4 linked regions of the Lepisosteus oculatus genome follow. The protein of the gene in region 4 binds, or shares a complex with, the protein of the main gene of each other region. Links are inferred from orthologs where the notes say so. Each region holds a gene or a part of one and is shown on either strand. Other genes may lie near its edges.

Evidence for each region.
Region 1: kat2a (region 4) and yeats2 share a complex: the UniProt entries of both Homo sapiens proteins name them as parts of the ADA2A-containing complex. The link is inferred for Lepisosteus oculatus from reciprocal best matches to the Homo sapiens genes KAT2A and YEATS2.
Region 2: kat2a (region 4) and tada1 share a complex: the UniProt entries of both Homo sapiens proteins name them as parts of the STAGA transcription coactivator-HAT complex. The link is inferred for Lepisosteus oculatus from reciprocal best matches to the Homo sapiens genes KAT2A and TADA1.
Region 3: kat2a (region 4) and dr1 share a complex: the UniProt entries of both Homo sapiens proteins name them as parts of the ADA2A-containing complex. The link is inferred for Lepisosteus oculatus from reciprocal best matches to the Homo sapiens genes KAT2A and DR1.

The regions. Positions count from the first base shown.
Region 1 is NC_090708.1:11,813,393-11,821,081, reverse strand, and holds the start of yeats2 (YEATS domain-containing protein 2), read right to left. Parts: upstream 3,008-7,689; 5' UTR 2,937-3,007; intron 744-2,936; exon of another isoform or gene 530-743; 5' UTR 465-529; intron 273-464; exon of another isoform or gene 204-272; intron 1-203. UniProt on the Homo sapiens protein: Chromatin reader component of the ATAC complex, a complex with histone acetyltransferase activity on histones H3 and H4. YEATS2 specifically recognizes and binds histone H3 crotonylated at 'Lys-27' (H3K27cr).
Region 2 is NC_090704.1:31,671,037-31,678,781, forward strand, and holds the start of tada1 (transcriptional adapter 1), read right to left. Parts: upstream 3,010-7,745; 5' UTR 2,793-3,009; coding exon 2,719-2,792; intron 1,766-2,718; coding exon 1,674-1,765; intron 432-1,673; coding exon 366-431; intron 1-365. Other genes in the region: fam20b (glycosaminoglycan xylosylkinase), read right to left, coding at 5,598-5,829, 6,854-6,913, 7,435-7,626. UniProt on the Homo sapiens protein: Probably involved in transcriptional regulation.
Region 3 is NC_090704.1:1,929,507-1,936,686, forward strand, and holds the start of dr1 (protein Dr1), read left to right. Parts: upstream 1-4,166; 5' UTR 4,167-4,696; coding exon 4,697-4,916; intron 4,917-5,417; coding exon 5,418-5,581; intron 5,582-7,180. Other genes in the region: retinol dehydrogenase 8, read left to right, coding at 488-671, 1,139-1,372. UniProt on the Homo sapiens protein: The association of the DR1/DRAP1 heterodimer with TBP results in a functional repression of both activated and basal transcription of class II genes.
Region 4 is NC_090723.1:5,256,019-5,263,438, reverse strand, and holds the start of kat2a (histone acetyltransferase KAT2A), read right to left. Parts: upstream 3,015-7,420; 5' UTR 2,969-3,014; coding exon 2,741-2,968; intron 1,947-2,740; coding exon 1,823-1,946; intron 1,441-1,822; coding exon 1,295-1,440; intron 665-1,294; coding exon 575-664; intron 1-574. Other genes in the region: rab5c (ras-related protein Rab-5C), read right to left, coding at 5,659-5,774, 6,787-6,880, 7,157-7,279. UniProt on the Homo sapiens protein: Protein lysine acyltransferase that can act as a acetyltransferase, glutaryltransferase, succinyltransferase or malonyltransferase, depending on the context.

The sequences.
Region 1 (7,689 bases), on a different chromosome or scaffold from region 4:
CAATAAAAAGATTAATAATCAAATGCACTAAACTTCGAATCAGTTGTATTTTCGAATAATTACGTTATTTGCCTGAAATCACCGGGTAGTAAACTGTGCTGCGGACATCACTTTTAAAAAACGGTATGAATTGCAAATAACTACAAGATAAAACCATGTGTCAGGCACTAATAACGCGTAACGCTATCAAGCATGAAACTCACACAGCTTGGAGCAGATCCATATTAAAGCAAAAACACACTATATTCTTCCGTTCTGTGTTGCCTTAGTACTGCAGCTACTACCCGGAATGATCATTAATCGAGTCCGGTAAAAGCCTGCGGCCTGCACCGAAATAAAATTTTCAAGCTCGCCGCTCAATTTTATTTTGAGAGATCCTAACAAACGAGCAATAATCTGGTTATACTGCTATTATAAAATCGTGGATTTCGTGATTTATAAAACGGCTGCTGTCAATTCCTTACCCAGTTCCAAGCAGCCCGTCTTCCCAAACTTCCCCAATCTTATGCCCGGGATCAGCGCCGAGAAACTGCAGAAACAGACGGGGATACGCAACTTAGTTTTGGCCTGGAGGTGCAAAGAATGTAAAAGATGACTATTAGCGCGTTGATGGTGGTATAATTCCGAGAAATTAAGCGCCGAAAAGGGTAATATATCACCGGGAGATATGATTCAAAGACAATACTTTTTTTGGACATTAATGTGTGAGCGCCATGAACCTGCAGAGAACGCTAGGCCACGCAATACCGTCAAGTAACCGGTAGAGGACATTGCTCTGTACATCCTAGCAATGTTGTGCCAACGAACACAACAGGTAGTGATAAAGTCCAGTACAATAATTGAAGTTTTCTAACATTTATGGGACTTTATAGTATTAAGCGTTGTGTATGACAGGCAGAGGAATATAAAGTCACTTCGTTTCCTAAGATATTTTTATTAATGCGATGAAAATAACAATGATGTCTATTTTCATAACAAAAAAAATAAAATAAAATATACCCTGTTCTCTGGACCTGATAAGATCGCATTTTCATTAAAAGAGACATTATGAAAATGAAATGTACTTAGGCATTGTGATATTGCCAGTATTCTTGGCAGCAGAAGTCACTGGTTTTACTTAAATGAAGAACAAAAGAAAATGTTATTTCTTCCGTAAAGCAATGGAAGGATGTTTTGTGAAGGATGCCTGCAATGCTATCAGTTGTTGTTTGCTTAAGGTGTGCCCAAATGTTTCCACATCTTTGGACTTATTCATTTTGTAAGCAGACAAAGCTTCTGACTTCCAGTGAAAACTAAAAAGGATGTCCTGAATACAGGAGCTGATTTCACAGTTTCAGTGCCATTTATGCCAAGAACCCAGTGTTTAAGTTATGATCATTGATCAAAATATAGATGTTGCATTTTTAGTGAGGTCTTATTACCTTAGAAGAACACTGGGCCTAAGTACAAGGAACACGATAACAGTGCAGTGCTCAGATGCAGTTATTGCGGCCAATGCAATGCACAACAGCAGTAAACAAATACAAAAGTTTGCATTTCCCAGGGGTTTAATTTGTCCACATATTCTTGTCCACAGAGAATTTTACTTTTTACTTTTTCCCTGCAACACATTTTTAAGAAGTCACTTATTGCATGAATTTACAAAGTGCAACAAGTTCTCACACCATCTTATGGGAAAACTGAAGCCCATTTTAAAGTGAAGGATCAAACATTTACGTCTCTTATTTCACTAATTTGCTTTTACTGTGTAAATCATTTACTAACATAATTTTACTAACTATCCTGCTAGAATAATGGAAAATTACTAACTGCAACTTAAGTGTGAGCCGGCTACATACCTGGAACATGAAGGGCAGAGCCAGCATCGGACAACCTGAACAGAACTGAGAGTGCCCGATATCTGCTTAACCCATGATAAACAAAATCTAGAAGTACATACTGTCTGCTTAAACAATAATTAAAGGAACCCAAGAATATTCTTACAGTTTATCACGTACAGTACCAAGGCTAGCAGCCTTGGCTTTACAATATATATGGCATGGAATTGTACTGGAACTGTTCTGGGTGGGTTTTCTGTTTGTGATTTTGTATAAAAAGCGTCCTTTTGTATCTGAATTGAGTCATTGGCTTTGGCTCCCGTATGCACACGTAATAAAGGTAATAGTAGTTCAGGTGGGTAGCTGCGTCAGCATGCATAGGCTGCAAAGGAACAAGTAATATGTTTATTCCATGCTGAAAAAAAGAAGAAAGAGAACACAACGTTTCGGCCGTGGAGCCTTCTTCAGGTGTGACACACTTGTACTACCGTATAAGCTTGTGAACTAGAAGTAGCTCAAAAATGGCAAATTTTAGAATGAGGAAAATCATATTAAGCTTCACTGAAGGATTGCAAATATCTTGATTACTAATGCAAATTACCAGTGCTATTCTCTGGTTTTATGATATGTGTGAAATATTATCATGCAAGAGATATAGTGTTAAGATATTTGCTTGAAAGCCTAACAATAAGAAACGAAACCCTTTCTCTTGAATTCTTGCCATGAAATGACATGAGGAATTTTTTTTTGCCGCGCTTCATTAATAACCACTCCTGCAGCCTCAGAAACCCTGAGGTTGATTTGTCACAGTTTTAACAAATTAATTAAATGTGGAGAAATCAATTGTAATGTCTTTAAGCATTTTTCTCCATGTAAACCATAACATTTATATATTTAGTAAGAAAATCTGCAAAAACAGCACAACTGCAACTAAAATAAGAACAACAATAAAAGCAATAATTATAGTTGTTGTTGTTGTTGTCATGATTGCTTTGATGTGCTATAGGGTGATGCAAAGCTAGGAAGAGATTAGCAGTATTTATGTAATATGGACTGTAACACTGAGTGGAAAATAAACATCATGGAGTGTACGCCCTGTTTCATATGAATATTACTCACCTGGTCCCCGCCATGAGGACCTGTTCAGGGCACTCCTTTGTTCTGCACACCTTTCCTTCTAGAAACTACAGCACCCTGTGGGATCAAAATACTGCTGACGTATTATTTCACCCTCTGCTTTTCACCTGGATTATGTTGATACAGATATACAGTACACAGATACGCACACTTTGGTCAGTCCCAGGAAGCTGTGGATGAAATCTGCTCTGTTACAAAAATGAAATGGAGTAGTCTAATGTTAGCTATTTGTCATGTTAAAGAAAAGCATACAGTACTGATCATTGTAGACCAACAAGTATAAAATACCATTGAATTATTTTGTTTTCAAAATTAGATTAATATTTTTAACTTGTTCGATAACTAAAAAAAAAGGTACTTGCTAAGTAAAATATCATTATTGTGTTAAAGGAACAGTCTAGTACAGTATGTGGTTCTTTAGATGCCATTTCTACACAACCTGATATCGCGGCACTGATATCTATCCACCTTTACAAAATGGTGCAGATCAAGACAAGAGTATTCCTAGCGTCTATTCAAATTTTCTAAAAACCTGACCATATCTTGGATTAAAGCAACAATATCATGCTTTTGAATCGCTTATTTGGAAATTTTTGTGAAAAGAAAAACTGGATCATTTGAGCCCTTTGTCTGACAAACATATTGACGTCTTAGGTTTCTTTATTATGACACTAAAGACTCTTTCTACACACAAAAGAACAAAGGTCTGCCCAGTTTTGCTGAGGTTCTATGAATGTTGTGTAAACAAACTGGTACAATGAAGGAGCAGTTCTTTAATATTCTGTTTTGAATCTGTTTGTGAGGGCAGGTGTTGCAAATGTTTGACATCTGTCTTCTGGTATTAAATCCTTTGTGTAGACACCATACATTAACCCCTTACTGGAGTGGCACAATATTTCTTTTCTCACATTCTAGTCTTCATGTGTTGTTTTCTGAATCTTGCTATTTACTGTGCCAAACAAAAGTGAAAAGGCATTTCCAGTCTGACTACTAGGGAACTAACAAGGGAAACCAGATTATTTTGCACGAAGCCTGTTAGTGTACTTCTTCACCTCCATTCTTTCTGCAGAACCACATGAAGCCTCTCTGAGGCCCACTTTTCCTTGATTAGAAATGAGCCTGTAAAACAAAATTCTAAACCGAAACTATGATTTGAATCAAATGCAAAAACTGCAGAACCAGAGAGGCAAGCAGAAAGACAAGAAAAACAGGTGTAATTAACAACACCTTTATAAAAAGAATGACTTTTGAAAGCTGATTTACAAATAGTGAGATCCAATCATGTAGTATAAATATATGATTTTGTTTTTGTCTACAGTAGTGTTAACATTTAAGAAAATGCTGGTGTGCATGTTGTAACATATGTTTTGTGTATAGCTTTATTACCATGTTCTAATTACAGTATATGTCTTGAATACAGGACTGAGTAATCAGAACTAAAGTACTGAGCAGGTACAGAATACAATGCAGTAAAGTAAGGCCATGAAGATAAGGTACCAAAACTGTTGAAAATCTACCCCTGCCCAACTTTGGGTTTTGCGACTCGAATATTTGCTCATGCTCAGAAGAACAGTTTTACTGTTTTTGAAGAAAGCACAGTGAATTCAAACAATACACACACCTGCCAGTTGGTGTTCAGCATTCTTCTAATGATTCACCACATCCAAAGTGTTTAGATTAGGTAAACTGGAAACTGAGGACAGTACTGTGGTCCTGGTCCTGTTCCTAGATTCCTCTACATTGATTTGGGGTACCCAGAAAAAAAGGACTATGTTTTGAAAGTTGTTTTAATCTCACCTGACCTGACAGATATGCATGTTGCATTGCTTCAAAGTGCACTTATGATGCCACTGATGCATACATTTCTAGGTCTGACTTTATGAATTAAGATGCTGCAGCAAGGAGCTGTGTGTTAAAATGTCTTGGTTTTAGATTTAAACAATCTTTAAATTCTTCATAAATGGAGTTGTTTACATGTGGTGTCAACATTTTCACAAGCCTGCACTGCTTAAGTTTAAACTTTTAGACTACTCACAATGTTAAACATAAAACATTGTTAAATGTCTAAAACTCTAAATGTTATGTTATACATCATCAACTTCAGATCATTTCATGTAATGCCTAAACAACAGTAATCCATTTAAATGCTACTAGCTAGTTATGAGAGCTTAATAAAAATTTAGAACTTTAGTTTGCAATAGCTATGCTGGCTAAGACTCAACAGAGATTTAATGAAAGGCTAGTCAACACGTGAGGTAGAATATACTGCGGTTTTTGTAGTGCCAACTTCAACAAACTACAGTTAGAAAACAAAGTATATCTTATTTAATACTTCAACATATTACATTTTACACTAGTAGAACCAATTGAACATATTGCTTAAGTATATTCCAGATTTTACATGTATGTACATTTATTATAAAAGAATAACATTTCATTTTCAAATTCAAATATTAAAATATATTTATCTAACTTGAAACCTAATGTAAAGCACATTTGAAAAACAATGTTAAGTCTATCACTGCATGGGTTTTGAAATACCAAGTATCAGTTCTGAGAAGCAAAACACATACAGTACCACAGCTATTTTGGTATATTTGTATAGCCTTTAGCCTGCTATGACATTTGCAGAATTAACCATCAAGTTAAAGAGGTATTTAACTGTTACATTACCAGTTGAGGAAAACAAACATGTCGAAGTGACAGACCTGGCTTTTGTCATCCTTAATGGCTGAGTAGTAGTCTGTAGATTTGACGGATTAGGGTTCATAGATCATCCCATGTGCTCAAATTCAAGTTGGTAGCTTGCACATGATTCACTGAAACTAAGCAGCTGTCTGATGTTCAAGACTACTGTTTCTTACGCAAGATCAACTGGTAAAACAGTTTATACAAAAATATTTTTCTGTAGTGCGCTGTAGGAAAAAGAGTTTCAGCAATACAATGTATTATCCATAAGTAGTCGGTGTTTTGAATTTAAGAGTATATAGGAGTTTGGACTGCTTTTTCGAGGCCTAAAACAAAAAAAGTGCTGTAGGGGACATAAGTTCAAACAGTGGCAGGATGTGGCTATGGATTCCTTAGCCATTTGTACATCTTTCCAAAGTCAGCAAAAGGCCCAGTCATTTCACAGTTGAACCAATATGATGAATTCTTTAGGTTTCTGAAGTTGCATATAACAGGATTACAGAGGAAAAATACAAAATAAGAAAAGAGGACGAGAGTATTTATTGTAAATTCCTCTGCAAACTGTAGGCTTAAGTGTAAAACAAATGATTTCTGAATTTGTTTATGATGGATAAATAACATTGGGAAATTTGACATTTTCAACCCCTTTAATGTACATCAACACTAACAAGTCTTTACATTTTTTTTCTTTAGGCAAACACTGACATTTGTTACATAGCGGCTTGATGTGACTATTAAATAGGAATAAAGTTTTTGTTGATTTATAGGATTTGCTACATTTCAATAGTTATTTTATTTCAGACTCACTGGGCAAGAAAAGGTTTTGCAAATGTTTAGAAGCACGAAAGCAGCCACCACCCCACCAACATTTTCAGGCAGTGATGAGGCCCCTAGCTCTTCAAAGTAAAATTACAACAGAAAAGTTTCAATAAAAATGGCAATCATTTAGGAGAAAGTTACTTTATTAAGGCATCAGTGATACATCTAGTACAATCATACGCAAGTGGCTTAACACACATACAAAATGTTTAAATAAAATGAAAGGTGAGAGAAAAGAAATTATCACGCAATACTATAATGCAACCATTACACAACATGTCAATTACTGGCTTATCAATAAAAAGGTTAACTAGTTTTAACATGCAGCCTTTACATAACAACAATCTCTCCAAATAAAATAATGATTTGTGGAATTGACCATTGTATGGCATACACCATCAACTAAGTTTGCTCCTGAAATTCTTGTGTCAGTGTACCAGTTATGTTATGCTATAAACAGTAAATGTGAGCAGACTAATCAGTACACTTTTCACTTTATTTGTTCTATGGAATTCTTTGATTTACCTTTTACTTGCTAAGTTTAATTTTTCCCTCTCGATATAGGTGTTCTACTTAAACTGGCTTGAATGTTTTCCTTAACCAAATGCTGTGTATTCTCATACTCTAATATTAAAAAACAAACAAACAAACAAAATATTAAATTGATATATAATTTCAAGGCACTTGTGTTGTAATTAAAGGCAAAGTAAGATAACTAGTCTAGTAGAAAATTCAGTAACAAATCAACTTAGCACACCAGAAAAGGCTATTATATCACCTGTCCATGATTAAATGAAGGCATGCCACAATATCTCAGCATCAGTTACAATCATAATTGGCCTTCACTGCATTGTTCTTGAGATGACAGACTATTAATCTTTAAATGTTAAGCATATATAATAAACAGGAGATCAAATAAATCCATTATCTGAATCACAGGGTGTGTAAGCTTGAATCTTTGGTTGGAGAGGCTCAGTTCTATAAAATAAATGTAGGAGGACAATTCCAATAAGAATGGTCTACCATGCAGACAATGTCTTTATTAGCCAGCTGGAGAACTCATAAGGGAGTGTAGTCCCTTCAACACAGTCACAATTAGAACAAAACCACTTTTCTGTCTCCCCTATAGGTATAATATTCCGAATTGCCTGGGAGTGTGTGGTACACCACTCACTTGCTTCGTCTCCCACAAGACTGACATCCCTTGCCACTTCAGACAGCCTCTCCA
Region 2 (7,745 bases), on a different chromosome or scaffold from region 4:
TACGTCTTACTGCACCCGAACTTTAAGTGTAGATTGCTGCCATCTACTGACAACTGTCTGTGTGCCAGGGAAAGGGAACTTCTACTAACCAAAACTCATGTGGGGAAATGAAGGAATTTTAAGAAATATTAGGCATAGGATGCCAATTTACTGATTCAGAGAAGAGTTCAGGTATGACTGTATGTAGGATAACCATGGAATCTCCAGGACAGTTAAAAGTATTATCTTTTTTTAAAGTTGGCAAAATTCAAACTGGAACTGCTACCACACAGTTTCAACATTCCAGACATATTACAGTTTGACTGTGGTCTTGTTTTCAATTTGACAAAGGAAAAAAAATTCCCTGCGATCGCAAAGCCTCTTACCTGGGGTGGAGACCATGATCTGGCACCGGGTGAGAATGGCCAGCAGGAAGTCATTGTGGAAGTGCACTGCAGAGAGATGCCAGCAGGTGTCAGTGTGTGCGGCAATCCATCCTCCTCTTTCACAAGGGGTTAATCTCCTAAATGTTTTTGGCATTCAAACTTTCTAATATTTACCACACTTGACTGAAAAGGTAAAATGAAACTGCTGACTTCACAGAATTAAGAAGCCAAGTTCTCAAATGAGGAAAACTAAAAAAAAAAGTAACAAACTGACAAGATTTGAGTTACAGTGTACATTTTAAAACCAGTGTAAATGTATTGTGCCACATCTTTTATATGTCAAAGTGCCTTAGGAGGTTAAGTCAGACCTTCGCAGATTTTCTTCAGAACAAAAAACTATGCCAAAAAATGACTGGATCCAGTAAACGTGCGCTTTTCATGAGGCGTGGGTCATGTCACCAGCCAACTGTAACTGAGCATGGTGGTTTGAGTGCCAAGGATGAGTAGGGTTAGTCCACCAAGGGCTCTCTCGGCTCTTGCTGACAATGACACCTGTGGCTTCCAAGTACTTGCAGGCATGCTGGGCTGTTGGCGAGGGGCACGCCTCTCCTCCAATCAGCACTGAGCCTTAGGTGTGGGCCTCTGCTGCCTGTGACAACAGGCTCAAAGATGGAAGAGTGAGGGGAGTCTGCCGCCAATTGAGCACATTCCCCTTTGAGGTAGCAGGGATTATGGATGCAAGCTGAGTCATGAGAAACACTCAACTGGCAATTCCAAATCAAGTGGGTGTAAAAAAAAAACTGGTGAGGATTCTGTTTGTTCATAAACAATTACTTTAAAATAAGGAGTTTTATACACCTATCTACAGAAGGCATTCAAAACTTTTTGAACATTGGGTTTAACACCGTTTTATTATTAAAAATAAGTGCCACAAGCAAATATCTAGACAGATCCTAAACATGAAAGTGTGTGTAAAATGTTTTATATTCCTGTAAAATGAAAGATGCAACATAGGGACACTTACTGACCAGGACACTCTCAAAGACACGTGCCCTGAATGCTTTACCCCAACCGATAAACCCTGGGCTCGGAATCACTTTATTCAAGACAACACTGTTAGAAAGCAAGGAACGTGCGAGGATAAATTTTAAAAAATCCAACGAATGGTGATTTACAAAATATTCCACCAAACAGAGCAGTCCGAACGCTGCAGTGGAAGACTTTTACCTGCTGAAGGTTTCGACACCAACTACAATAAAGCAGGACAAGTCTTACCCAGCAGCCCCCCTGCAGAAGGCCTGTTCTTACCGTTCCCTGGGCTGAGCAGCCGCCTGGCCTCGAGGTCAAACTCTTCTTTACTGATCTTCTGTTTGAACCACAGCTTCAGATTTGCCCAGTACCTGCAGAAAGTCACAGACACGTCTGTACAAGAGAGCGCCTCCGTCTGCGACACACTCCAAACCTCTGCAGCTACACGACGCGCCCCAGGTTGTGTGGGACAAAGTGATGGTGCTGTACACAGCACACGCTGAATACACCTGTGAGCGGGAATTTACCGCCACCATTGCCACACGTTGGAATTTAGCCCGGAACAAAACTAAATTTGTGAGGAGGCTTTGCAGAGGTGTGCAGGAGACGAGACACGACACAGCGCAGATTTCCTGCGAAGTCAGGAAGGTTGGTGGAACAGGACACTTACAAGTGAACGTTAAATTAATGACCGAGAATCCAGAACAAAACTGCCTGCCAGCAAAACGACTTCAATCCGGTGAAATAAAGCCAAGAACAGCCCTGAGCGAGATTCCAAACAACGAAATGCGCCGGCGAGTCCCGTTAACTACACAAGAGCTGAGCTCCAACTTTGCGACAGTAACTAAGACTCAGATGTTGCAGTAAACTCTCTCAAATAATAACACAAACGGAGAGAAACCTCTGGCTCTTGTAAAAGCGGCTTGAACTGAACAGTAATGCACATCGTCCATAAGACAAACAAGCAGACCGAACAGAACTAGCAGAGTTTCGAATACCCACCACCGTGATTTGTGCTACTTTTGCTCAGAATTAAGAAAAATAAAATAATTTAAAAGTAACTTCCTGTGTTCGAGGTGAAAGAAGACAACAAATAAAAGCATTAAATAACGAATAGAAATACAGCAAGCATTTGTTTCTAAACAGAAGGCAAGCGAGCAGGTACTGCTTGCGGAAGACGGGAACACAACGCCAGGAAAGCCCGCTGCTTTACAAGGCCTACTCAGCGTCTGACGCTGGGAGCCAGCTCCGCTGGTAAATTACAGCCCTGGGCGGGGATTCGTCTTTAAAGGCATGGTCGGGCAGCCTAGCCTGGCCTACTCACTGCTTCAAATTCTCTCCCAGGGCTTCGCTTAGGTTCTTCTTCGCCGCCTCCAGCTCGCTGACATGGGCCGCCATAGCGCCGGACTACTCCCCGGTCCTATGCTGGATCCGGAGGAGGTTGCTAGGCTGTACGGAGGAACCGTTGCTAAGGGGGGAGAAAGCCCGCCTAGTTGCAGTCTTCCGCTTTGCTCCCTTACAAAACTTCCTTAAAAACGCCTCTATTGGTGTATTTTTATAGCACTCCGCTTTGACATACGCCACCACCTACAGTATCAGAGCTGGAAGCGCAGTCCAGGTACCAAAGGCACGGATATGTCTTTACATGCGTGTCTTAGAGGACCGCTGTACATTGCGTTTTACACCTTCCTGAACTCATAATTAAGGAAGCGCACTACTGCCATCAAGAAAAAAATATTTCATGTGCGTCTCGTAGTTACGAAGAAAAATATAGTTCGTATCACACATGAAAGACACTGATGGAAAAAAGAAACGCAACACCTCCTCCTCCTCCTCCTATAGTATTCTCATTCCAGAAAATGTTGCGTTTCTCCACCCCCCCATCAGTATATTTGTCCTTGATAGCAGCAATGCGTTTCACTTCTTGACTTTGATTCATGAGAGCTTCAATGCAGTCGTATATCACCGTTTCCAGGTCTTTAGTGATGAACGATTATAGTTTACCTATGAACCCCGGTGGACTACAGCCCTACAGGAGCAAAAATGAATGAGTTTCTCAGTCGCATATCTAAACCATTACAACAAACGGTACAATATAAAACAAATTTCCCCTAGGGACAATAAAGCTTGAATTGAATATCCGTGCTAGTATTGGCAGAAGTAGAAATGAGCAACTTTATAAAGAAAATCTCTTTCTCTCTTACACCAGGCATTTTGTTGCACATTCAGTACTTAAAATATGTAAGTAAAACTTGTTCCAAAGATACCACACCCTGATACCATACTCTTCACAGGACCCAGCCTCCGGCTTCCAGTTTCAAATGCACAATAAACTCACAAAAACTAGTGTAAGGACTTCACAGTGCACCTTACCCTTTTAAAAACTTTTGTAGAGAAAAATAAATGCCTTCTTGATCATAAGCAGAATAATACCTAAATCTTCTAATCCGCCCAGAGGAACTTCTTGAAGAGTCTTCACCCACTGAACAGAACCGGGTGACCTCATCTCAATCTCACAGGCAGACAACTAGAGCACCAAGCTGCCGCGCATTAGAATGGAGATGTAAACATTTCCAAAAATTAAATAATAAGTAGATGTAGACCAGGGAACCCAGCTGTGCTCCTCAGGGTCACTGTCCAGAAGGTTTAATAGGGCTCTTCAAATCTGTAGCCCTTTAGGACAAAAAAAAGGTTTCAACTTGAACCCATCAAGCAAACAACTAGTTCAATCAGATAAATAAAGCTCAACCAGAAACCCTCTTGCCTTCCAGGCCTGGAGTCGTTTCAGCTGAACACAGACTTACCTGCATCAGATCCTGCAGAGCCCCAGTCCAGTCTTACAGAAATTGGGAAAACATGAAAATTCGTGATAAATTAATCCAAGTACTTTGTGCAATTGAGGGCTAAAACCAAATGCCCCGATTTTGCTGCCCTATGATCTCTAAATTATCACCTGTTTGATCACAGATCAATAATTTCAAGTCTTTAGAACTTGGGGAGTTATTACCTTTAAAAATGTATCTGGGGCTTCAGGACTGGAAAATACACCTTGAAAAATGTTTTCTGTCTCACAAAGGCTGCACAGAGAGAGAAATATGAATAGTGCCAAGTTACCGTATTTTAAAATTGACCTATTAGGAAGTGATACCCGTCACCCTTGGCTGCTCAGCTCCGGGTCAGAAATGGAGACGGTCTTAGATGCTACTTCTTTATCAGCTGCACCGCAAAAGGTTGGCACCTAGGAAATGAAAGTCGAAGCTGGAGGTTCAGTCACACTTTCTTATGGCTCTTAATTTAGAAGCCGTGTTCTCGCTTTGTTCCTGGGGAGACCAGAGAGAGACTCCCTTTCACACACACTACACTTCCTCTCGCACCACGACAGAAAGGAAGTATAGGTCAGGTGTAGTAAATAAAAAAAAAGCAGCTAAACCTCATTTTTTAATGTAAAATCATCTCCACAATTACCCCCCCACCCCCAGTACAACCCTTCCTGGATTCCAGCAGCGTCCCAGTCCAGATAAACACCCCCCAGCTATACAGCACACCTAAACTCTGAATCCTCAGTTCTTTTACATAATATTATAATGACAATTCCCAGAATTATTTTCAACATTATTAACACATTGTCTATACACTTTTGCTCAGGGCAGGTTTCGACTGCGTTGGCCGCAGCGCTTGAGGTTTATTCACGCAGTAAGACAAACCCCACCCTCCGGCCCCAGTCCTCTTTCGCGCGCTTTTGGAAAGAGCCGTTTTAGTGTGCACAGTTCGCTGTCCCTTAGTGAGCCAGGGCTCCAAAGCACCGCAGGCCCCCCGCTACAGCCGGCAGCTCGATCCACAGTCCTGCCCGAGGCAAGTTCGGTGACGGCTTCCCCAGACAGAATCCCGAGACCGGTGGGCAAGGAGACCGCGCTCCTCTTCTGCTTCGTGTCCAGCGACGCCCGGCAACCCCAGCGCCTCACGCCCACCACTGGCGTAGACACTCGAAATGTCACTTAACAGTATGGAAGCTCCCGCTGTGGATCCAGCGATGCTGACCTTTGAAGCAGGGAAATTCCAAGCAGGTCCAGCAGCATGAAGGTAACCCCTGCGCCCCACTGCTCTAAACCGGATGGGGTGGGGAGGCCCAAAAGGCAGGGGCTACAGCGTCCCAGGACAGCGGCTGCTCCTTCCCCTGCCCCCCCCAGGCCCCTCTCCCGGTCCCTAGGGGTGCGGCAGGTTCATGCGGTCCTCGATGAGCGCGTTCTCGGCGCCCTGCGTCTCGATGCACTGCCGCACCGTCGCGAGGATGCTCTCCAGCCGGCGGTCCAGCGCGGTCACGTGCGCCTCGGCCAGCGCGGGGTACAGGGGGTCGTGAGCGGTGGCCGTGCGCAGGGCCGCGCTCAGAGCCCCGTTCCGCAGGAGGTTCAGCCTGTTCCAAGTGGACACACGGACCCTGGAGAGGAGAGAGCGGCCCAGGGGCGTTCATCAGGCCAAAAGCTAACGGACATGGAGGCGTACACTGCCTGTCCAGGAATCCCACAGCCCTCAACCGCCCTTCAAGTCCAGGGGAAAGACAAACAAGACCCGCATCATTTTTTGGTGCTGTATGTGGCTTTAGGATAAGAGAAGATCACTTTATTGGCCATATACAATTTCTTGCATTAGGAATTTGTCTTTTCACATACTACAGCTTGCTCTCCATGAGACACACAGACATGGAGAGAAGCTGGGGGTCAGAGCACAGGGTCAGCCATTTATACGGCACCCCTGGAGCAGCTGGGGTTAAGGGCCTTGCTCAGGGGCCCAATGGGGTAGGATTCCTCTGCTGGCTGCGGGATTTGAACTGGCAAACCTTCCAGCCACAGGCGCAGATCCTTAGCCACAGAGCCACCGCTCCGCCCATCAAAGCACAAACACACAGCACAGCCATCAGCTCTGAAGCACACTACAGACCTTCGCTCAGAGGGCAGCTAGAATTTGGAGTACCTATGATGGAGCGGCCCCAAGGCTCAGGAATTTCACAGGGTGGCAACGCCTGCGCCTGGCACCACTAGCCCTCCGCATGACTGTGGAGTCACAAGACGTCCTCCGTCTCTGTTTCTGCTGCGCTGTGTGAGCAGCTGCCAGACCCCAGGACATGTGTGATGATAATGACGCAATAGCAAAGGGTTTCAGGACGTGTTACTGTGCTTTCAAGTGTTGCTTTTTTCTTGGGGAAACGGTCTTTGTGCACAGCTTTGTGAGTTCTAAATAAGAAACTGCATTATCCTTTTACAAAGCTATGAGCTGTTAAAATAGCCAAGAAGAAACAGGAGAAACCTGAAATTTTCAATCGTGAGGCAAGTATATCCAGATTATTTACAGAGAAGTTGTAGGAGCCGAGTTCCCCAGAGTGGGAATGTCTACACTCGAGCAGACAGGCCTGGGAAACAGCACACGAACAGCACCGCAGAGCGGCCAGAGATGCAGATACTCACGTGCAGCACTGATACAGTGGAGCCAGAATACTCCTCTCGTCCAGGGCAGGGTTCCCGAAGCTGTCGAGCAAACACAGAAACACAGCTACACACACCATTCACATGGCAAACAATAGCTTGATCGAGCAAAACATGTCCATCGATTAATATTATATTCTAAAATGATGTTAGAGGAGCACTAGAGGTTTCATATAGATATATAATATTGCTACACCTCCTCCAAATTCCTGATTCAAGTCCTGTATTCACCAGGTCTCAAACAATTCAGCTAGAACAGCCACACCAAGACCACTCAGGATGAAAGAACAGTATGTTCAGTAACTGGGAGGTGAAATTACACATGCTGAAACAGGATTAAAAACAGGAGAGGTAATTAAATGAAAAAAGACACTGGCTGCTGTGACCAAGTCTGAACAAGAAAAATAAGGTTTCTCTTACTCTTCTGCACAGATCACTGCCAGTTAATTTGTTATGGGAGATTAGCACTGCTAGAGCAGACATCAGAAAAAAAACAGAACTGGCGCAGTTAATGCCAGAAACCATCTGCTTTATCCCCCAGGAAGTGGTCCGTTGCGTCGTACCTCTTGGCATTGTCCAGCAAGATGAGCATGCTGGCTCCACCGTCATCCTGGAAACTCTCGTAGTGATGGCGGTCGGCGTTTCCGATGAGGTAGTCGAAGATGGCCGTGTCGATGACATCCAGCAGCCGCGGGCCGGCATCGTAAGGCGCCATCTTCTTCACCGCCTCGCAGTAGCTCTCGTCATACTCCCACCTGGCGGGCGGAGCGTGGACAGGGCCGCATCAGGGTGCGGGCAGGGGCGGCGGGAACGTCGCTGTGCACCCCGGTCGGTAGGGGTACGTGGTAGACTGCTCTCGCACCGCACGCACACC
Region 3 (7,180 bases), on a different chromosome or scaffold from region 4:
TAAATCCTGGAGACAGCTGCGGTGAATTTAATCACGGACAAGGTCACGCTGTAAACCGAGCAGGGAGCTGCGTCAGCATGCCTGGGCTGCAGAGGAATAGGTTCATTCTTCTGGAAGGAAAGGGAAAGGAAAAGAAGAAGGCTCCGAAGCCTAAACAGTGTTTCTTTTCTTGACCTTTCAGAATGGAATAAACCTTTGCGTGATACCATACTGGCATTGATCAATAACCGTTTCTTTTAAAATGAGACAGTATGTCATTGGAACAAGTAAAGGTTTATTCCATGCTGAAAAGAGAAGAAAAGAAACATAATGTTTTGGCTGTGGAGCCAAAACTCCACTTTGGCTGTTCAGCATGGAATAAACCTTTACTTGTTCCTGACACAGCTCCCTACTTGAACTACTTCAGTATGTCATTGGCCAGCTCCTGTGTTTTTCTGCCTGAGAGCGTGAAAGAAATACACTTGTCTTTCCACTTTCTCAATTCCAGCATCAGCCTTATCGAACCAGGCCCTGTGATCACAGAATTCGAGCGCAAAGTTTACGAGGAAGGCCTAAAGACAGACCTCACCAAAGCGGACAAAGTGACCGCAGACATGTTCACCAACATCTACATGAAGAACTACAAACAGATCTTCGAGAGCCTGGGCCAGTCTCCAGAAGATATAGCAGAGGTAGGGATCGGAGACATGCACAATAAGCTCCTGACTTCCAGTATTCTGTTTGCCATGTGCAGCTCCAGTAATTTGTGGTCACTGGGTCAAATATACAATTATTCATTTGGCACTTTGAAGCTTTTTTTAAATAAAAATATAAACCTAGGAGCAGTCGATGATAATGGATCATCGTGTAGCCTGGATGATACCACAAAGCTGTGTTTAAGGCAAACAGCTGCTGATGTTGCATGTGTAGTTCAGGCAGTAAACACAGCATATTGCTGATTTCCTTCTATCACACAGCCTCTCGGAAAGTAACATTATTCTTCAGACATGAAACATATCGCCCATCAGCAAAGAGTTTCACAGAACAGAAAATGAATTATTGCCTATTCTGATTTTATATAACTGAACCAAAATGATAAATTGAAGTATTTCCTGTTTAATTTTCATAAAGATTCAGCTTTTTACATCTGCTTCCTCAGCACACGCTCAAGATCATCAACGCAGGGACCCCACCCTTCCGCCACCAGACCAACACCCTCTACACGCCCATGACCACCCTCAAGTACGCCGACCCCAGTGGCGACCTGCCCATCGACACCTTCTACAAGATGGTGTTCGAGCACGACAAGGTCTTCAACGCCAGCCTGAACTTCATCAAGCTGCTGCGCTGGAGGAGTCGCAAGAGCTTCTCGCTGGGGAAGCCCCAGTCCTAGAGCCGCGGGCATGCCCCTGCGCCGCCGCCGCCGCCCCCTGCAGCTGCTCTCCGGAAGGACGGCCTCGCCCGCGCCCAGCCTCTCTAGCCCCCCCTCGCCAGGATGCAAGCCTGCTCAGGAGACTTCGAGTCCAGGGCTGTCCCGCCCCGAAGGCGGGACAAGCGTGTGGATGAGTCTAGAGCAAAGGCCCGCGTGGTGCATCTTTAAAAAAAACAACTGATTTTCAAACCTGAGTTTTTCCTCGGCGCGCTAATGCTTCATTCTGTAGAGGTATTTTAATAGCCTGAGCTGGAGAGCGTGGAAGATCGAGTCTGAAACAAGTACAGTCCAGTCTGGTGCTGTGTGTGCTTGACGCCATTTCCCTTTCATCTGTTTTTTGGTGTTGAATGGTGAATGGTGTGCTGCCTTGAATGGTCACTGTTTGTCGCTTCTGCTTGTCTGTTGTTATATTATCACCTACAGTAATAACCCACTCTGCCAGCAAGGGCAGTCGAATGAGAGGAACTGGCGCAGAGGGACTTGGAGTGTTGGGCAGCATTGAATGGGCTCTCCGTCTCTCCTAGAGAAAAGGCACCAGAACGGTGTTCATAAAGTCTGAGTCTCGTTCTCGTAGTAAAAAACCCCATGGATAACAGGTACAAAAGGTTACATTCCAATGCAATAAAACAACAAAATGCAAATTGTATATGCTTCCTAAACTGTGTAAACGGATAGAGATGAGATGTGGTTCTATTTAGAGAAACTCTTCCTGTTAATGGAGTGTTAATAAAGGTTGTCAGAGTCCAAGAGTGTCCAGCCTTGCACCTGTGATACGTTTCTCCCAGCTGGTTGTGGGGGATGAGGATTGAGAGAGCTGTAAAAAGACAGTTCTCAGTAATGAATGAGGCACACTGTTTTTGCACTTGTGTTTGAATTCTTTATTCTCAGTTGTTATTGACAGGCAGCCCTGAAGAGCATGTGTACACTCCGTTTACAAGCAGCTCTTCAGAGCCACTGAATTTCTACAGCACATTCTTCATCTGGAACTCACCAAATAAGAATAACCAATTCACAGCTATGCATCTCTACATTATTCAGAGACCAGTGTACAGTATGTCTTCTCCTGGAATGCACTTAAGGTTAAATGCAATTGTCAATTGGCAGTTGAGGTCTTTTGTCAAAGGGGTGTACTGCCTGCATGAAGTACATTAACATTTAATGAAGTGCGTTCGTGAAATTGGTTACTCTGAGTAATAGCGCTATTTGGAGAAAAATATAACCAATCAGTGTCATACACTAGTACTAAAATCAGAAGGGCTCTACCTCTGAAAGTGGGGTATTGATGTACTTTAAATGAAATGTCATCATTTTGCCATTTTACCAATGGTATATCTTTAGTATTTCGTTGTAATTAGAATAAAATGATAACATAAATCAATGTTGCCTGATAAGGCAATAGGTTACTTAACATAAAATCTTTCTGTAAAGACTGTTGAGTAATTAAATCAAAGCCCAGCTCTAGAAACATATGGCCTGGTAATGGGATTTACTGAAACTAAATCCCACAACACAGTGAAAGATCTAAGTGACACAAACACAAATCTTCTGTATATGTAGCCATTTTATCTGCAACAATCAAGCAGGACACCTGGTAAATCTTACTCTGTAACTTCACTTGCCAATGGAAAATCAACCAGAAATGTGTCTATCCTAAAGATAAAGCCCATGTGTACTTTTTCTGGCAAATGGTGAAGAAAACTTTGGAAAAAAAGAAACATGACACCTATCAAAAGCACACCAGCAGCTTTTATAGAAACAGCTTTAGATAGATAGATAATACTTTATTAATCCCGTAGGGAAATTGATGTGTTACAGCAGTCCAGCCCAAGACAAGCAAAACAGACATCAGAATAGTTATAAAACAAAAGACAAACAAGATAAATAAAAATAAATAAATACATAGGTGTGTGCAAAATGTGCTGATCATAGTCACTGTAAAAACAATAAAAAGACTAAGACTAAAGACTTTAGACTAAGTTGTATAAATATAAATTTAATATTATATTTAAAAATAAAACTGAGGTTCTTGGAATAGAATATTCTATATATAATCCATCTATAGAATCACAGTGGTGTAGTTCAGTGCTGTTTATATGAACACTAACCTATCCTCATCTTTAACTTAACTATCATTCTACAGAGTATACATTTATAGTAAATTATTAAACTTTTTGCTATATTCAAAACTTTTTTAAAGATAAAAGGCTGCTGACTGTGCATCGCCCAGGTGGCGGATAACGTGAGATCCTTTTAGATAACAAACGTTATATAACCGCGAGGAATTATTATTATCCTGTGTCGCTAAAGCTCATGGCAGCCAGAAAGCGATCGAAGTAGATGTTGGGGGCGGCGCAGAGTACAGGTCTGTGAATCGGGAACACCGCTGTTGCACCTTCAAAGGAGGTTACTTCACCGCAGCGACTCCTACCCACCCAGCTGAGCAAACGAGTCCAGCATTTCCGTGGGTTAACCTGCAATGAAGTAGCAACCTGTAAGGGGGTAATTTCAGTCCTTTTACTGTTGCCGAACTCAGGATAAGATCAGGCTTGATAAGCCTCTAGGCTACGCTATGGACGTTATTCTCACGCAGAGTTAAAAATGCATTTGTTTGTCTATGCGTATACTGCAGGTCAGCCGACTTCAAGGGAGCTCCACGCTGGGCAATTTCAGACCCAGCCACAGAGCATCCCTCTGGCTCGAACTCCCCCTATTGGTCGCTGTGTGGCAACATTCCGTGACGTCGCCGGATGCGGAAAAACGTCACCCGTTGCAATATGGGATAGCTTCCGGAATCGATTAGAAACCCTGCTGCTTCAACGCCTGGTGCTGTGGACCGAGCACCGAAATGAATTAACAAAAGTATTATGTTATTCTCGGAGCTGGTGTTATAAGCCTTATTGTTTATAACATTAGAGAGAGAGAAAAACAGTCCCTTCGAAACTGTGGAATTACAATGCAGCGGAAGCCAGTCTAAAGAGTTTAGGATCATGTGTAAATTAAATAGCAGCTGAGGCGATAGGAAATCTGCTTGGAGACCGGCTGATTTGATCCTGTTGGTTTCTCCTACGCTTTTTTTCTGGTGGATGAAAAATCCAATAGGTCGCTTTGACAGCGTTAGACACTGTGCAGGGTGCAGCGCCATTGATGTAAAAGCAGGGATTTGGGGTGTACTTAGGAGTTTGGCGGAGAAGCTGTAGGTTGGTGCAGTTGAGACTCCGTTCGGGCCGCCGTGGAGTCGAATCGCAGCTGAGGTTCAGTGTTTCGGGAAAAGGACGGCAGGACAGAATGGCTTCTTCGTCTGGGAACGACGACGATCTCACTATACCCCGGGCAGCTATTAATAAAATGATTAAAGAAACTCTTCCTAACGTGCGGGTGGCGAACGACGCCAGGGAGCTGGTGGTGAATTGTTGCACTGAGTTCATCCACCTCATTTCGTCGGAAGCTAACGAGATCTGTAACAAGTCGGAAAAGAAAACGATCTCTCCTGAGCATGTAATACACGGTAAGAGTCGTTACCGATGCCTATTATTCAGTCTCTTTTGGGGGGGCGAACTGTTTTGCTCGCAGATTTGTGCGGCTAAATCGTTTGCTAATGGGTCTCGTTTTTAACCTCCCCCTTAAAACCACTCCCACTCGCTGACTTTGACAGCGAGGCTTCACACACTGTTGTTGTATTGTGTGGCTTGCTTGTTAAAGGGACAAGAAACAATTATGGCAACGCGTTCTACGGTTTGGGTACAGCCGAACCCTCTGATGTACATATTCCTTCACCTCCTGGATTTATTTAAATGTAACGCAGACAGACCAACCCTGCTGCGAAGCTTTGTCATGATCCTTACAATTCTGTACATGATGGGAGCAAAGTGCTTCCTGAGAGAAATGACAGGAATCCTGATGCTTAGTGTCATGAATTACAGCAGAGGTGCCGGAGGTACTGTGTGCTTTAAACCTGGAACAGTGACTTTCGTGGGTGTCTTAAAACAGGACTGTCTGTTTTGTCTAGCGCTCGAGAGCCTGGGCTTTGCCTCCTACATCACCGAAGTAAAAGATGTGTTGCAAGAGTGCAAAACAGTCGCGCTCAAGAGGAGGAAGGCAAGCTCCCGCCTGGAAAACCTCGGCATTCCTGAGGAGGAGCTCCTTCGGCAGCAGCAGGAGCTGTTCGCCAAGGTAAAGCCGCCAAACTCGCATTCCGTCTCCTCACCTTGTCACTGCAACGCTGGGGGGGTCTGCTACTCTGCCCCAGTGGTGCAAGTGGGAGTCTGCTCTTCCTGGATCATGCGTGCAGTAGTGCTCTGTGCTGTTTGAGGACATAAGGATACAAATGACAGGAGGCCACACCCAAGATGCTTTAGCTCATCCTGGTTGGCGTAGAATGATGCAGACAAGAGCCCCACGGCTCCATCCTGGTTTACCCTGGTGGAGCAGAGCTGGTTACAGTACCTCACTGGGGGTACACCAGCGCTCTGCAGTGGGGACTTGTACCCATAGCCTGCCAGTCAAGAGTCCAAAGGCTCACCCTCTACTCGACACCGCCTTGACCTTCGATCGGGTGTTTCATTTTCTGTGGATGTGCTGCCTTCATAGTCAGAACGCTCTTTAGCCCGCCTCAGCAGAGGAGCAGTCCTCACGCTTACTGAAGTGAGGAATGGGAAGCTTTCGGTGTGGTCCACATCCTCTTTGTCCTGCTGGTGCCGTGACGTTAAAGTACCAGCCCCGTCCAAACCTCGATCTCGTTGAATGTGTGGAAGGGCTAACAGAGCAGTGTACGGTACAGGGTGGCCTCTCCCGTCGGCTGCGTGCCCCAGCCCCTGTAGGGCCAAGACTGGTTTAGATTGCAGGTGAAGGTGAAGCCACAGGAAGTCCACAACAGGAAGATGGGAGCTCCAGCGGAGCCCTAGCAGCTTGAGCCAACGCTGCGGGCTGTGAGGCTGTGGGCTAGAGTGTCTGAACGCCAGTGGAGCTGGCGAGGTGTGCGCTGCAGGAGTGTCTGAACGCCGGTGGAGCTGGCGGGGTGTGCGCTGCAGGAGTGTCTGAACGCCGGTGGAGCTGGCGAGGTGTGCGCTGCAGGAGTGTCTGAACGCCGGTGGAGCTGGCGAGGTGTCCGCTGCAGGAGTGTCTGAACGCCGGTGGAGCTGGCGAGGTGTGCGCTGCAGGAGTGTCTGAACGCCGGTGGAGCTGGCGAGGTGTGCGCTGCAGGAGTGTCTGAACGCCGGTGGAGCTGGCGAGGTGTGCGCTGCAGTAGTGTCTGGACGCCGGTGGAGCTGGCGGGGTGTGCGTTGCAGGAGTGTCTGAACGCCGGTGGAGCTGGCGGGGTGTGCGCTGCAGGAGTGTCTGAACGCCGGTGGAGCTGGCGAGGTGTGCGCTGCAGGAGTGTCTGAACGCCGGTGGAGCTGGCGAGGTGTGCGCTGCAGGAGTGTCTGAACGCCGGTGGAGCTGGCGAGGTGTGCGCTGCAGGAGTGTCTGAACGCCGGTGGAGCTGGCGAGGTGTGCGCTGCAGGAGTGTCTGAACGCCTGTGGAGCTGGCGAGGTGTGCGCTGCAGGAGTGTCTGAACGCCGGTGGAGCTGGCGAGGTGTGCACTGCAGGAGTGTCTGAACGCCGGTGGAGCTGGCGGGGTGTGCGCTGCAGGAGTGTCTGAACGCCGGTGGAGCTGGCGAGGTGTGCGCTGCAGGAGTGTCTGAACGCCGGTGGAGCTGGCGAGGTGTGCGCTGCAGGAGTGTCTGAACGCCGGTGGAGCTGGCGAGGTGTGCGCTGCAGGAGTGTCTGAA
Region 4 (7,420 bases):
TGCAGAAACACTGCGATGGGGAGCTGCCTCTTGCTTTCCTTCAACCCCTTGAACTTCACGTGGTACGGCTCGAAGACCTGTTCCAGGTGCCGAACAACGTTAACGCGCCTATCCACTGAAGGGTCAGAGTGCAGTATTCTGTCCTCCAGTCTTCCGAGGTCCTGGAATAGAGCTGCAAAAGGCTCGGGGGGACACTGCCGGTCTTGCTCTTCCTCTTCACCGGCGCTCTTGAGAGGCTCGTCAAGCTCCTCCTCGGTGAACTCATCTTCGTCCTCCTCCAGAGGCTCTTCCAGCTCCCCAGGGTCCGTGTCAGAGAACAGTTAACGGACGCGAAAGGCTCAGAAGCAGACTAACACACCAGGCACGCGGGCCTGCGGAAACGCCGTCGCCTGCCCGGTAGCTCCCCAAATTCTTTTTTTCTTTTTGACCCACGAATAAACGAAACCGTGAAGTATGAACCCACGAAAAGCGAGGGATGACGGTATAATGCGGAGCACATTATACAACAACACTGTTTCGAACCACCGCAATCTCTGAAGCGCTCGGCTCGCCGGGCGCTAGCTACAGACCTCACCTGCTCTATGTTGGGCTTCTCGAAGGGAGGGCAGCCCAGAGAGCCCTCGACCACTGGCCGGCTCATCTGCAGGATGCATTTCCTGAGCAGCTGGGAAGACATGGGGAGAACGCAAGCACATGAGTGGCCATTGAGAAGAGCCTCGCAGCTCGCCCTGGACATCTCCGAAAGGAAGACACGGCCACAAGGAACACATTTCCAAATCAAGATAAGACCAGATCACTTAATTGGCCATGTGCAATTTCTTGCATTAGGAATTTGTCTTTTCGCAGACCCCAGCTTGCTCTCCATGAGACACAGACAGGGAGAGAAGCTTGGGCTCAGAGCGCAGAGCCAGCGCCACGCAGGCCCCTGGAGCAGTTGGGGTTAAGGGCCTTGCTCAGGGGCCCAGTGGAGTAGGATTCCTCTGCCGGCCGCGGGATTTGGACCGGCAACCTTCCAGCCACAAGGGCAGATCCTTAGCCACAGTGCCACTGCTCCTCCCCAGGGCTAGTGGCTGCTGCGCGGGCTGTGCCACCTAGCTCCGATTACCTGTATCGTTTCAGAGGTCTCCTTGAGTCACCGGCAGCTCAAGGCCTACGGAAGGGGGTGAAATGAAATGGCCTATGTCCAGATGGCCGGGCCGGTTCAACTACAGGGCTACAATACCTGCTCCGCTCCCAGGCTGGAGGCCTGGACCCCAGGGGGCGCTAGAAGACGAGAGAGCAGCAGGGCTCGTACCTTGAAGAGGTAAAAGTACACCTGCTTGGTGTCCGTGTCCTCCTCCTTGTGCACGGACATGAAGAGGTTCTCCACGTCCACCACCATGCCCAGAAGGCGGTTGATCTCGTCCTCGGAGACGTTCTCCAGGTGGGAAACGTGATCCGCTGTGCCAAGCAGGGAAGAAGAGCAGGATTCTGGCGTTACCATACGAGGTTTTCACCCCTTAGTGGGCGAAACACTACGCGTTATTTCACGAGTTGGCGATTTCCTCCCTGAGACATTCATATGTAACCAAAACAATTTAGATGTTAACCAGTGCAGCCAGTGATCTCATTTTCTTTATTCTTTCATTTAAAGTCCTAATCTTACAGCCAATGCCTTATTATGCACACAGGAAACCAACACTCAAAGATCTAGCAGAGTATGTGAAGATACCTTGTTAAGAGAATCAGTATGCCATATTCAGAAAACACTAAGGTATCAAAGTCGGGCCAGTGCCGGCAGCATGCAGCGGATCTGAAGGAGAGGGCGGCGGAGAGGCGATACCTAAAGCGTGCCCACAGCTGCGGCAGGGATCACTGAGACAGGCTGCCTGCTGCTGGAGATCCATCCGCTGGGCAGTGGGAGGGTTAGGGTTTTTCCAGCCATTGCATTTACAGGAGTCATTGGCCTTCAAAGACAAGACAAACAGTCAGATACGAGATCATATCTCCAGCGTTTCTCCGCAGCGCGAAAATCGGTCTCCGTTCATCTTCCATTACCACGGCGCGACCAAGCGGTCCTATAAAAATAGAAATCATTGCACTCAATGCACAAAAAATGTACTGATCGATACTGATTTAATGTTACTGCGGAACCAAACTTCAGTAGGTTGACTGCGTCTAATTTGCGATTTGCAATTTAATGTTCTGCCTACTGTCAGCTTGAAAACGTCAATTAATAAAATACTAATAATTAAATGTATAATTATTCTCTGCCGGCCAATTGTTCAGTTTCAGACCAAAAAAACTGCTCTGAACTGTAGCGAGTTCTGGTGATTTCAATGAGCCTGGGATTTAAAAAGACGATTTGGACTGGAATCACAGTAACAACATTATAGCCGGATATCATCGCTGCTTCACTTGTTATCCGGGGTTAAGACGACACCGGGCAAATATAAACGAAGGTAGTTAAGCATGACAGGGACGTTTTAATGCCAAAACTCCACAGAAACGTAATCTGGACCAGTTTGCATTGCACGCTGTGTGCTGGGAAGCGGGCCAGTAGGTGCGACGCTGAACGCCCCGCTCTGGATCAGCTGAAGAGCGATCCCATTCATTGATCACTTCACGGCCCTCGACACACACACCTACAGGTCGCTTGCAGGGGCCGGAGGGACAGCCCGCCCAGCGGGCACACGGCCCGGGTCTCCCGCCCCTGCCCCCCCACACCGTGCATTCATCCCATCGTCCGCCGCCGACTTACCTTGCAGGCGGAGAAGACCCCGAGTTTCTCCAGCTTCTTCGCCCGCGGGAAAGCTCGGACCTGCGCTTTCTTCTGGCTGGCCCGCTGCTGTTGACTCAGACCCGGCCGGGCTGGGTCGCTGTTGCCGGATCCGGAGCCCGAACTCGTGTTCGACGCTCCCGCACCGCCGGGCTGAGCCTGCTGCTGCAGCCGGGGTTGCGCGGAGGCCTGCGCCGCCGGGTCCGCCATAGCAATAGCCGCAGTCGATTGTCTCTCCTGCCGTTGTGTTTGTGAACAATAAAGTTTTGTTGATGGCGGCTTGGCTCCAAACTGCGCATGCGTCACCGAAAGGCGTTCTGGGAATTGCCGTTTGTTTTTACATTTGCCTAGATGGATTGTTTTAAATTACGAAATTGCTTTAGATACAGGGTCTTTTTAATAAATAAGGTCACGAGCTCTCATTGTGGGATATGGCTTACGCCGGAGGACTTGAATGAACAACACGCATGACAATGACCAATGTATATTTGGTCATTATCATGCATGTTTAATTTAACGTTATTTGTGCCAGCTGGATGTGCTAATCCTCCTAACCACTAGGCAGCGATACTCTGTTGTTACTGACGCGGCTTTTGTTGTATATTCTTTTTGGAGTAGGTGGGATTCAGGTGAAAAGTAATTAAAAAAAAGCTGGTAGAAGGAGAATTAAAATTCGCTGTGTTATTTAGAAAGGTGTAGCATCTAACATGTCACCAGGGTAAAAAAAAAAAGGTCTGGCGAGCGAAATGTGTATTCAGACACAATGGAGCCAAAATCAGCTCTCACGCGTAGAAACAACGCCTGTCGTACATTTGTATCGCGTCTCATCCACAGTACAAAGCCCAGGCAGCGCTAAGGAACTTGTTAACGTATTTAATACTCCGGAAGTGACTTATTTTCCCTAAATCGGATTAGCTGCATTTCCACTGACGCCTGAATGAGAGGAATTCTCAAACCTTGGGATTGGCACAGAGCTACCCAAACACACAACTTTATAAGACCTAAAAATTAAATAAAATGCACATGTAAATAAACTAATTTTGCTTGCAATTAATCAGCTTGGTACAAAAACCAAAAGGCATTGTGGTCTCACCAGACCAGGATACCACAGCTACCACAACTACCAAAAACTATCACAGCAGGTGATATCCATATACTTCAATTCTGTGACTTCTGAACCACCTCTAAACATTTTGCCTGCAGTAAAAACCCAAAGTTCGATTCTGAGGCATCCAGCAAGTTACATTAAATGGGGAGACTGAGGTGGACCAAAATCCTTGGACACCTAAAACTGGGACAAGATTTTAAAGTTGGTCCGGGATTGGGAAACTATTTCATGTCTCATTTTTTCAATAACGCTTCAATTAATCTGAGGTTTATACTATACACAGCATAGACTATAGTAATCTATAGAAAATGACCTTGTGCCTATGTGAAACAATTTATAGGATGTTAATCAATGATCCATCATTAATTTGCAGTTTCTCTGATCAATGAAGCAGACTGTTTACTTGAATGACAGCAGGACCAGAGACCATCTAATCAATTGACACTCAAGAAAAAAAGTTTTGCACAGTTTCACTGTAATTAGGTGTAATTGTTAAATTGTCCTATTTGCTTTGGTTTAAGGGCAAATTTAACAATGACATCTCTCAAATGTGCGAGTGAACAGCGTCAGACTCCTGTGGTATTGACTCTTTGTTGGTCATTGTTTTTAATCCGTGCGTGCAAGTGAAATTCAGTGGACAACACTGCTTAGACACGTCCCCCTCCATGTTTATTGGTAGAATTACAGAATGAGCCTCCCCATACTTGAAAACAGGACTCCTCCACACATGAGCTGAGCCACACAGTGACAGCACACTCCAGCTGACAGGACAGCTTTGTTCTGTTGTGCCAGTCATTAATGTCATTTAGTGACAACACAGCACGATTCCAAAGGACTCCAAAAACAAAGACAAGATGTTATCTGCAAAGTCTCTACCTGATCGACGGCACCAGTGCATGTTACAACAGAAACCCCAATTAAAAAAAAAAAACAGGACCAGTTAAAAAAAGAAAACTCATGCTTTCCAACACAAAAATAAAGATGACAAAAAATACATTTATATATTGGGAAGGTACTGTATTGACCATTAAGTACTGATTGGTTACATATTGAAGAAAAAAATATACAATACAAATACAGCAAAATAATCTCCAATACTCGTAAGTGTGATTTTGGTCAGAAAAAAAATCTGGCTTTTTTTTCCATTTTTATAAGTTCAACAGATTTGAAAAATTGTTACATTAATGCTAAAAATGACTTACTGGTATAATAATGACTGTTAATGCACTATGCATATAGTTGTGATTCTTACACATAAATGATCAAAAACCATGTTAGGCCTATCCTATTCATTATATCCTGTTTTGCTTGTGCCAGAATAGTAATAATATCAATAATAATCTACAAGATGGTTAATTTGGAAAGAGATGCAACTCCCCCAATTTCTCCCACCCTCCCGTGCCTTTGTGCTGGGGAGGGGCAAAAGACGAGGGTGGAAGGTGGGAGAGGGGCAAAAATAAAAAAAAAAGAATTCGCTACATGCACCCACCACCAGAGAAGAAGGTAAGAGCAGAAGCCAGTATAATACATTTGTTTTTAAAAAGTGACTTAAGACACCACTGAATTAGTATTTGTACAGAAAGATGAGAGAGAGGCTGATGGAATGGATTCTCTCCAGCTTATGATTTAAAAGAAGAAAAAAAAAATCAAAGCAGCAAAACCAAGGTGGGGAGGGAGGAGAAAAAACCCACAAAGCTGCACGCTCCGTTAAGTGCGATCGGGAAGAATGGGCTCGGGTGGATCTGCGCGACGTCGTCGGGTGGTTCTGTTCGGTCCGCTGCCTCTCGGCGGGTCAATTACTGCAGCACTGACTCCGGTTCTGAGGGCTGCTTTCCTGCAGGTCCACCCCTCTGGTCCTGCCCGCTGTGCCCGTTGCGCTCTGAGGCTCGTTCTTCGGCAGCTTCTTGGCTACAAGATAACAGACACGGCAAGCTCAGGCGGCGCTGCTTTGCTGGAGGGGTCGCGACCCTCAGTAACCCATAGCACAGGTTTTCAAACTGGCATCCAGGGAGCATGAGCCCTCTCGAACCTGGGCCCACCCGACTGCAGAGGCCTGCCCATTTTCAGTCTTGCTCTTCATTAATGGAGCCCTCCGTTCAAGTCATTTTCTGATTTAGAACTAGATTTCTCATCTCCTACACTGAGGTTACGTTCCAGTAACCTTAATTAAATTTTCACTTTTAGGAGCCAAGAGAACCAACATATATTTAAACCAGCGAAGCACTCACCGAGAGTTGAGCTGGAATGACAATTCGGCAGATACTGATTAGGATCGGGATTCCTGGATGGCGATCCAGACACCATCAACGTCTCTCCCCCCACCCCCAATATTAATTTGGGCGCAAGAGTCCAAATTTAGCTGGTGTGTGGGGAGCGTTCTGGCGCACTATGGCTGCCGTCGCATCATCCAAGTGGATGCTGCACATTGGTGGTGGTGGAGGGGATCCCCATTACTTGTAAAGCGCTTTGAGTGGAGTGTCCAGAAAAGTGCTATATAGGTGTAAGCAATTAATATTAATAATAATATTATTTAGAGTAACATGCACCAGCTGTCATCAGTACTTCTCCACTGACGGACCTACTTTGAAAACAAACAGCTGTGCTTGAAAAGAGGGAACCCCCTGCAGGTCTTTGCTTGGAAAAAGGGGGTACCCCAGCCAGGGAAGTCCAAATATACATTCTTTACTTAAGGTGACATAGAAATGAATACATTTCTCTAGCTTGAAAGTGTACACGTAGGACCTGACAGACACTTATGCACAAAGCTGCTATTTGTACCATGAGCATCGTGGTAATGTGGGCAGGGCGAATTTTCACAAGTGTGATGGTGGGGGTTCACTTGAATGAGACTGATTTTTGCATTTTGCAAGACAATAGTCCAGGCTGGGTGACCCCCCCCACCAAGGGGCAGATACTGTACCTATGGCCATGAAGATTTCATTCACGTTCATCGCCGTCTTGGCGGATGTCTCCATGAACAGCAGGCTGTTGTCGTCGGCGTAAGCTTGCGCTTCCTGGAAAGACCGACGAGACACGTTTGTGGCGATGAGTCTACGGAGCTTGTACCCGAGTCGCCCCCCCCCCCCCCCGCTGGCGTGTTTCAGCCCACTGACCACCCCAGACATCGTCAAAGCGGTATTCCGCACACGAACGCAAGGTCTGCTGTAAAGTGGACGCGTCGACTGATGGCGACAGAGAAAACGGCGTACAGTGTTGTGTAGCTCGAGGACCTTTTCCGGGAGGATTGTGTTTAAGGTGGTTTTCCTGCACGTGCCAGAAAACAAGCTCACCTGGAAGTCCACAGCTCTTTTGTTGGCCAGGTCGGCCTTGTTGCCCGCCAAGGCGATGACGATGTTGGGGCTGGCTTGTCGCTGCAGCTCCTTCACCCAGTTCTTAGCTCGTGCAAATGTGTCCTGTTGAGAAGCAGAAAAGCGCACAAGTGCTATTCCCTTGGAAATCATTTAAACAATTACGACTTTTTGGAGATGCAGTTAACCCAATAAAAAACAATCCTGTATTGGCTAAGCAAGCCATGCACTGCATCGTGGTAACTC